Linked DNA regions of Arabidopsis thaliana. Each later gene encodes a partner of the first gene's protein in a complex. Each region holds a gene or a part of one and is shown on either strand. Other genes may lie near its edges.

What was found.
Region 2: the proteins of TFL2 (region 1) and AT4G40030 are in contact, whole or in part, in a crystal structure (PDB 8XAG), measured with the Arabidopsis thaliana proteins. Residues at the interface, in NP_197271.1 of Arabidopsis thaliana: Lys102, Leu103, Asp104, Glu105, Gly106, Phe107, Tyr108, Ile110, Trp129, Trp132, Ala136, Thr138, Trp139, Glu140, Asn144, Leu145; in NP_001078517.1 of Arabidopsis thaliana: Ala26, Arg27, Lys28, Ser29, Ala30.

The regions. Positions count from the first base shown.
Region 1 is NC_003076.8:5,826,547-5,831,740, reverse strand, and holds TFL2 (uncharacterized protein), read left to right. Parts: upstream 1-1,980; 5' UTR 1,981-2,203; coding exon 2,204-2,563; intron 2,564-2,876; coding exon 2,877-2,902; intron 2,903-2,982; coding exon 2,983-3,090; intron 3,091-3,202; coding exon 3,203-3,958; intron 3,959-4,040; coding exon 4,041-4,101; coding exon of another isoform or gene 4,102-4,119; exon of another isoform or gene 4,120-4,189; coding exon 4,190-4,237; 3' UTR 4,238-4,570; downstream 4,571-5,194. Other genes in the region: AT5G17700 (MATE efflux family protein), read left to right, coding at 1-133, 238-356, 454-540, 621-716; AT5G17680 (disease resistance protein (TIR-NBS-LRR class)), read right to left, coding at 4,588-5,194.
Region 2 is NC_003075.7:18,555,053-18,559,016, forward strand, and holds AT4G40030 (Histone superfamily protein), read right to left. Parts: upstream 1,853-3,964; 5' UTR 1,776-1,852; coding exon 1,692-1,775; exon of another isoform or gene 1,450-1,691; intron 1,366-1,449; coding exon 1,294-1,365; intron 1,212-1,293; coding exon 1,135-1,211; intron 1,050-1,134; coding exon 788-1,049; 3' UTR 566-787; downstream 1-565. Other genes in the region: AT4G40020 (Myosin heavy chain-related protein), read right to left, coding at 1-248; AT4G40040 (Histone superfamily protein), read right to left, coding at 2,487-2,657, 2,756-2,846, 2,949-3,025, 3,113-3,184. UniProt on the Arabidopsis thaliana protein: Variant histone H3 which replaces conventional H3 in a wide range of nucleosomes in active genes. Constitutes the predominant form of histone H3 in non-dividing cells and is incorporated into chromatin independently of DNA synthesis.

The DNA.
Region 1 (5,194 bases):
CTTTGCCTAGCGTTTGGCGGTCAGATTTCGTATTTGTTCTCTGATAGCCAAGCAGTTTCGGATGCAGTAGCTGATCTCTCCATCGTCCTTAGCATATCTATACTCTTCAACATCATCCAGCCCATTCTATCTGGTTACAAAATAAAACCCTTATATTAGACATAAATAAATTATAACATAAACTTTTAGATTTCACTAATTTGTAACCACTAAATTTGTTTGAACATATATAAACAGGGGTAGCAATTGGAGCAGGGATGCAGAGTATGGTAGCATTAGTGAACTTAGCATCTTATTATGCAATTGGTGTTCCTTTAGGTGTCCTCCTTGTTTACGTTTTCAATTTTGGGATTAAGGTACATCATATATATGAAAACTGGTATCCAGTACTTCATTATGATCAATCATTAGAACTTTTAGAATTTTAACTTGAATAAATGATATTGTATGCAGGGACTCTGGTCCGGAATGTTGGCTGGAGTTGGTATCCAAACGTTGATATTGTGTTATGTTATTTACAAAACTGACTGGGAATTGGAGGTAATTTACTTTTAATATATAACTCAAAATTTTTATTAGAAAATTCGTCATATTAAATGTATAATTTTATCTAATTACAGGTTAAGAAGACAAACGAGCGTATGAAAACGTGGACTCTAAATTTACCTGCTGTACAATCGACTACTATCTCCACAAGAGATGAAGAGAGAAAGTGAACATACAACTAAGTTAATTTAAAGAAATCTTTTAAGAAATTCTTTATAAAAAAAGAAAGAATAATTTATGTTGTATTGTGGTTGTGTTTTGCATTCCCTAAGAATGAAGTATCGGTGTTGAGATTGCATTATTAGGTTAATGCAACTCTCATAACTTTGAAAAAGGTTAAGAAGGATGAACTTTTTCTTTTATCAGAGAAAAAGGTTGTTCTCTTGTTCTTCGGATATACTCTTTCTAAACAAAAAAAAAATTGTGGGAGGTTTGAAATTTTAACTTCTTTCTTGATTTTTTAATGGATGTATATTTTGTGTGTGGGGAAAAAAATTCCATTTGTTTGAGTGCTTGTAATCGTGAATTTTTACAAAAAAAATATTCTCATATATATTTCGAGGAAACGTTACAAACTTTCATAAGCTCACCATCAAATAAAATACTCATTTATTTATGTTGAAGTCAAAACGTTCCATTTTTCCCCCTATTTATGAACCGATCCTAATGAATGTTTTTTTTCTTCCTTTTTACTTCTTTCATATCACCATTTTAAATAATAATAGTAATTATTATTTTTCTAACGTTTAAACAAAAAAAGAACTGCAAATTTTATAGTAACAATTCAAATTTAACAAAGCGATCAAAACATGCATCATTTAGTGTACAAGTACTAATCACAAAGAAACAAGTTTTGGTTGGACAAAGTATAGAACAAACACACTAAACTGAAGAAAATAGAACTTTAGCCCACCAAAAGTTGAGGCTAAAACTCGAGCAGTAATCACATAGTTACTATCAAGATAACTATACTTTGGAATGAAAGAATCTGAATCTCGATGAAGTTTATCTTGGAGAAGGACTTTCTTTTCTGTTGGTTTGGATGAGATATTGCTGAAAATTATTGATGATGATGTTAGGAGATCCAACTAAGTTGTCTGCCTTTGCAGTGCACTTGGAGACTTGGAGTGAGAATCTTAGTTTATGAGACTTATTTTCTGATTTTTCAATCTCCTTTGATTTTTTTTTAAGTTGTAATAATGTCCTAGTTGATTTCCTTGTAAAAGGAGCAAGAGCACGATGTTCTTTTATTTCTAATTTAAAGAAAATGTTTTCAGTTTAATATATTTTTCGATTTAATTTACCTTCACATATTTTCTTCAGTAGTATTTATTATTTTCATATTAGTAATTAGAAATAATCTCTTCTAATTAGATTATAAACGTTAAGAATTTGCTGTATTCAACTTTTCCTATTGTGATATTAAAAAAAAAAAAAAAAAAGAGAATCCAAAAAAGTGAAAAAACTGGTCTTTGAGGTCAGGTCAGGTCTTCTTCCTGCAAAAACAAAAACCTCAGAAATAGAGAAAAAGTTTCAATCTTTCTTCATCTTCTTCCTCCAAAATCCTTGATTTCTAAAAAGGAGAAGAAGAGAAGAGAACGCGATTACCTTGATTCACCCTCCTCCTTCAGGTTTGGGAGGCTCGAATACTCAGGAAATGAAAGGGGCAAGTGGTGCTGTTAAGAAGAAACCCCAGGTGTTGAACGAAGCTGGTGAGGCGGAGACGGCGGTGGAAACAGTCGGAGAAAGCCGGAAAATTAGTGGAGACGGTGGGTTTGGCAGTGACGACGGCGGAGGGGGAGGTGGAGGTGGAAGTGGAGAGTCGATTCTTCGCGAGATTGGTGATGATAGGCCTACGGAGGATGGAGATGAAGAAGAAGAAGAGGACGAGGATGAAGATGATGGAGGTGATGAGGAAGATGAAGAAGGAGAAGGAGAAGGTGGGCAAGAGGAAAGGCCAAAGCTTGATGAAGGGTTTTATGAAATTGAAGCTATTCGTCGTAAGAGAGTTCGAAAAGTAAGCTCCTTTTTTCGTCTTCACTCAGCAAATGTGGTTTGTTTTTGTTAACCATAATTAGTTGAGGTTTTAGGTTTTCTAGGTTTAAGATAAGTATCAAACGTAGGTTACACATTGGTGTGAGAAAGTGGCTGCTTTAGTAGTTAGTAATCATCGTAACAGAGTAGTTTATAACGAACCAAAGTTTTGATTCTGTGGTTGTTATATGTTGTAGGAAGAAAATGATCTTTAATGTTTGATATCTTCTTGGATTTGATTGATTGAATGATTCTGATTCTGCATTTTGGTACTGTTTTTTTTTTTGTATTTGTAGGGCAAGGTTCAGTATCTAATTAAATGGTGAGTTTTTCTAATCTTACTTGGTTTCATTTTTAAGTTTGTTGTTCTTGATTAAACATATGTTTTTCCATTGACATAAGTTATAAACTCGGTTGTGAAAGGCGCGGATGGCCTGAAACTGCCAACACATGGGAGCCTTTAGAGAATCTCCAGTCTATTGCTGATGTTATAGATGCCTTTGAGGGAAGGTAAGTAAATGGAATCTTATATAAAAGTTTTGTGATACTTTTGAATTGATTGTTTCATGGATTTTCTTGGTTTAATGTATGGATTTGCTTTCTTGTTTCATATGTTTCAAAGTTTGAAGCCAGGAAAGCCTGGTAGGAAACGGAAGCGCAAATATGCAGGTCCTCATTCTCAGATGAAGAAGAAGCAACGTTTAACATCTACATCACATGATGCTACTGAGAAATCTGACTCTTCTACGTCTCTCAACAACTCTAGCCTTCCTGACATTCCTGATCCACTAGACCTAAGCGGTTCGAGTCTATTAAATAGAGATGTGGAAGCGAAGAATGCTTATGTATCCAACCAAGTTGAAGCCAACAGTGGGAGTGTTGGGATGGCCCGACAAGTTCGTTTGATTGACAATGAGAAAGAATATGATCCAACACTTAACGAGCTACGAGGACCAGTCAACAATAGTAACGGTGCAGGATGTTCTCAAGGAGGAGGCATTGGTTCTGAAGGTGATAATGTAAGACCCAATGGCCTTCTCAAGGTTTATCCTAAGGAGCTTGATAAGAACAGTCGTTTCATAGGTGCTAAGCGGAGGAAGTCTGGTTCTGTGAAAAGATTCAAACAAGATGGATCCACAAGTAACAACCACACAGCACCTACAGATCAGAATCTGACACCAGATTTGACTACATTAGACTCTTTTGGTAGGATTGCAAGGATGGGGAATGAATATCCTGGTGTGATGGAAAATTGTAATTTGTCTCAGAAAACCAAGATTGAGGAGTTGGACATCACGAAGATACTTAAACCAATGAGTTTTACAGCATCTGTATCAGACAATGTCCAGGAAGTGTTGGTGACCTTTTTAGCGCTGAGGTTTGTCTCTTTAGCTCTTTGGTCATTTCTCGTAATTTGATTTCATATTTGTACAATTGTACTTATTTGGTTACTCTCATAGGTCTGATGGGAAGGAAGCATTGGTGGACAACAGATTTCTCAAGGCTCACAATCCTCATCTCGTAAGATTATCTTTATAGCTTTTTTTTTCTGCACTTACTCATTTGGAAGTTTCTTATTAGCTTTTCTAATTTGTTTTTCCCACACCAGCTGATTGAATTCTATGAGCAACATCTCAAGTACAATCGAACGCCTTAAATCATCCGGAATGGTAAGAATTTGTTTGTACACAGCCCTTGTAGGTAGAAAAGATTAGATGGCTTCTTTATTCTAGCAGTGCAACATGTAGAGTCGAGGTAGCGACAATTGGATTTTGTATCGCGTCTCCGGGAGGTTTCAGATTGTAATTTATCTCCTCGGGTTCGTTGTGTTCACTCTCTATCTCTATCATAGTAAATCTTGTTACTTGGACCTTTGCTTCTTATAGCGGAAGTTTTCTTGTACTTGCTTCTTCAAAGATCAAGTTCATGATATGTTGATGTTATCAAAATATATGTGATCAATCAATATATAATAATTATGTTTACAAGCAAACCAAGTAATTTTTTTTACTTTCGTATGACATTTCGCTGATGTAATTTGGAATGACGCTCTCGAGCCAAAGGAACTGGAAGAAACTTGATCCTCTTGGGATTTAGTTGTTCCTTATGCAAGAACTCAGTTTCATATGCTCTTCTTTTCAAAATTCTTGCGTCATCAAATGCCTTTGGAAGATCCAAATCAGAACTCTGAATTTTGTCAGAGTCATTAGAGAACTCTTGCATCATGTCTTTGAGTGATATAAGGTGTACCGCACATTTTTTAACCTCTCCAAGCGGGCTAAAGGAATCTCCTTCTGTGTTTTCGACTGAGAATTCAAACAGGGCTTCGCTGTAAGCTTCCATGGACGTGCAGGTTCTGCTGAATAAGAGAAGGTGATCTGATCCAAAATACATGTTTGTGAAAGCTTTTGGATCAGGATACCACACCTCATCCATAACAACCAGCTCACAAGCATCAGCATCTTTTAATATACAAGAGCAGTGTATCTTCAGATTGTTCATCGGGTACTGTCCATCAACTCCAATCATGATGCAGGCAGAAAATCCCAGAATGTCAGACGATGATTCACTCTGAGGTAACTGTATATTCAGCGAAGGACCCATGACTTGGTGA
Region 2 (3,964 bases), on another chromosome or scaffold:
GCTTTGGTTTCCTCTAACTCTCTCGATTGATCTTTAAACGAATCAAGCAGTTTCTTCTCTGCAGCTTCAAGATTCTTGATGAAGATGTCTTTCTTCAATAACTCTTGTTTTAAAGAAACGACTTCGTTTTCTCTGTTCTCAAGGGAAGCTTTCATTTTGTAAAGCTCTGTACCAATATCCGCAACTTTGTTCGATGAATACCTTGGAGAAGCTACATCAATGGACGGTTTCTCATCGACTTCTCCCATAGATGATAGAATGTTTTTTATTCAGCGTTTCCGAGGAATTTTTGGTAATGGCCAATGGGTTTATTAGAAGATTGACTAAGAATATATTTAAGAGGTTGACAAAAAGATCTATTGGTCAAAGAAAGAAAATTTGGTTCAAAGAGGAACTTATTTCCTTATTTTTAGGGTTAGTTTTATCGAGAGCCGTCTATTTTATCGTCTGATATTATTATTTTCTTTGGTCAAAAGTCCAAAATCTGATTCTTTTAAAAGAAAGCATTCAACAAATCCAAAATTATAGAAAAAAATCAGCCATTATTTGAAGAGAAAGCAATGGTGACGAACAAACGAGTTAAGAAAACATAAGAATTTAACAAAAGAGTTAAAAAGAGTTCGCAACACACATAATAATAAGCTTAAAGAACACAACATTCTTAGATTGCAGACTTCTTACTACTCTTACTACTACATACCCAGAGATTTAAAAAACACAGCAATTAAGATCTTGCTTTCATAAAAAACAAAAACTACTTGAACCAAATCTCGGATTCTTGGTTGGCTTAAGCGCGTTCACCTCTGATACGACGAGCGAGCTGAATGTCTTTGGGCATTATGGTCACACGCTTGGCATGAATGGCACAAAGGTTAGTGTCTTCAAAGAGACCAACAAGATATGCTTCTGCAGCTTCCTGGAGAGCTAAGACAGCATGGCTCTGGAAACGCAAATCAGTCTTGAAATCTTGAGCAATCTCACGGACTAGCCTCTGAAATGGCAGTTTCCTGATAAGCAACTCAGTACTCTTCTGGTACTTACGGATTTCACTGAACACCAAAAGATAAGAGGAATGTTAACACACAATGTTACATAATCTCAAAGAATCACATACAAATCGAAGAAGGGACAAACCGGAGAGCAACAGTTCCAGGACGGTAACGATGTGGTTTCTTGACTCCACCAGTAGTTGGTGCAGATTTACGAGCAGCCTGAGGTTAATAAAGAAGGAGATTAACATTCAACTTCACAACACAAGTATTATTTGAAAAAAGAGACAAGAAGGAACAAAACCTTAGTAGCAAGTTGCTTCCTTGGAGCTTTACCTCCGGTGGACTTACGAGCGGTTTGCTTGGTACGAGCCATCTGCGCATTTAACAAGAAATTGAACAGTCAATTGGGGATTTTCATTATCCATAACTAAATTTTGAAGAAATTGGAATACTAAACGTCACCACTTAAAACCCTAATCCAGATGAATCGTTATCGAACCAGATATAACCAAAAGGGGCAAAATTGACTCGAAAACCCTAGTTCTCGATACACGGCTAGGTAATGACAATCGCACACAGACAAATCTGGTTATACAGAACTTCGAAGCAAGAAAAAAACGATGAAGAATGGATCATCCAATAAATCGACTAGACTCAATCTTCACAGGTTTATCGATCCAGCAAACTTAAAAGACGGACCTTTATTTTCAAACTGGAATGGGACAAAACCCGAAACTCTATTGTCGTAAAATCAGATCGCGGAGACAGTAACAGAAAAAACATTAAAAAGTAATGGAAAGACCTAAACCCCTGATCTAATTACAAACAAATCATACCTGTTCTTCGCCTGAGCTGACTTTTGTTTTGTTTTGTTTTTTTGTCTTTCGTAACAAAAGCAGTAATAGGGGATGATTGAAGTAGTGGTTGTGGCCGCAATGTAGTTGAATTATTATTTATAATACTCACGAAAGGGTTATCACGATACGCTCCTTTGTGCTTTCTCACATTCTTTATCCTACGGTTCAAACTATTGTACATTGTGTTTTCTCAACACAGCCCAACGGCCACGATTAGAGATTTTAAGTGTCACACGGATTACCAATTTCGTGAACGTAAAAGTTGTTGATATTGAAAAGAACTTTGAAACAGAAAGCTTATTGATAAACAATAAAACTCAATCATACAATATCGAACAGATACAGATGAAACAAGAGTCAGAAACTTTAACATATTCATATGTTTCAGAGATGAATTCAACAACAAAAGGTGTTCAACATTGCCAAAGAAGAAAGCAATACACACCACAAAACGTAGCTAAGAAGAACACAAGCAAATCATAAACCGACTAGACAAGAAACAGAAAGAAAAGAAAAAAAAAACACCATTGTTTCCAAGTCTCCTACACCCAAAAGCTTTTTAAGCCATTATCTAATTCCAACTATCTATTTAGAAAACCACCCACATTCACATAATCCAACTACTTCCCAATCACAATTAAGCACGTTCTCCTCTGATCCTGCGAGCGAGCTGAATGTCTTTGGGCATTATGGTCACACGCTTGGCATGGATGGCGCAGAGGTTAGTGTCCTCAAAGAGACCCACAAGGTATGCTTCAGCAGCCTCCTGGAGTGCAAGCACAGCATGGCTCTGGAAACGCAAGTCAGTCTGCAATCAAAGAGACAAGATAAGAACACAAGGTTATGACAAAACAAGTAAAAAGTTAAATCCATTTGTAGACTGAATCAGACGAACAGACACATTACCTTGAAATCCTGGGCAATCTCACGAACTAGCCTCTGGAAAGGGAGCTTCCTGATCAGCAACTCGGTACTCTTCTGGTACTTACGAATTTCACTGTCAATCAAGATCAATAAAACAGAGAAACAGAGTTTAATCAATGACGATATCAATAAAGTAAAAACACAATTGAATTTGGGGAAGAAACAGATTGCATACCGTAGTGCAACAGTTCCTGGACGGTAACGATGGGGCTTCTTGACTCCTCCAGTGGTTGGTGCAGACTTACGTGCAGCCTTAAATTAAAACATCCACCAATTAGAACAAATCTAGAAATGTGTTTATCAAGCTACTCAGATCACATGTGAGAGCCCGAGTCTTACCTTTGTAGCAAGCTGCTTCCTAGGAGCCTTTCCTCCAGTAGACTTACGAGCTGTTTGCTTAGTACGAGCCATCTGTTCAACAAATTAACAAGATTTAGATCCATACGTATTCAATTGCCGGAATGTATCGTAAGATCAACACAAAACCAAAGAAAATCCCTAATTGCAATCGCATAATCAAGAAAATCAAAACCCTAATCAACAATCGCCGAATAAGAACAATCTATTTACACATGTGAAAACTATCGAGAATTTCAGAGATTCTAGACAAAGAAACTATCTGGTGATGAAATCTAGCTATACGATTCATCTCTAACCTAAAATCTTTATCCGGAAGATCATTCGGCGAAGAAACAAGATAATGGCCAAGAATAGAAACTAATCTCGCCTAATTTCGTACCACCTATCGAGCGATTCCAGTAGTTTCACGATCACCGAAAAAATATTTCCAGGAAAATCAAAGAGGATCGAAGAATCGTACCTCAGAAAACTCTCTAGCTTCTCCGAATTTCAAACTTGAGCTCCGAATTCGAAAAAGATAATATTGTCAGTCTTCACGCGTGTACGGCTATTGATATTAATTTATAGGCAACGATGGTAAAGCGGATTTATATGATCGGACGGTTTTTATCGATTATCAATGTGTTTCTCAAGTTTTCTAATCGTACGGGTAAAAATATCACAACATGTGCTTTCTTGCACCAATTCAACGGTCCAGATCTAGCTTTACTGGTTTGACGAGGATCACCACTGCTACATAATTGATTGCTATTGGCTGAATACAAACCGTCGCGGATCGCTGAAATAAACCGTTCGGATTTAGTTTAGGCCGTCACATCAATTAATGGGCTC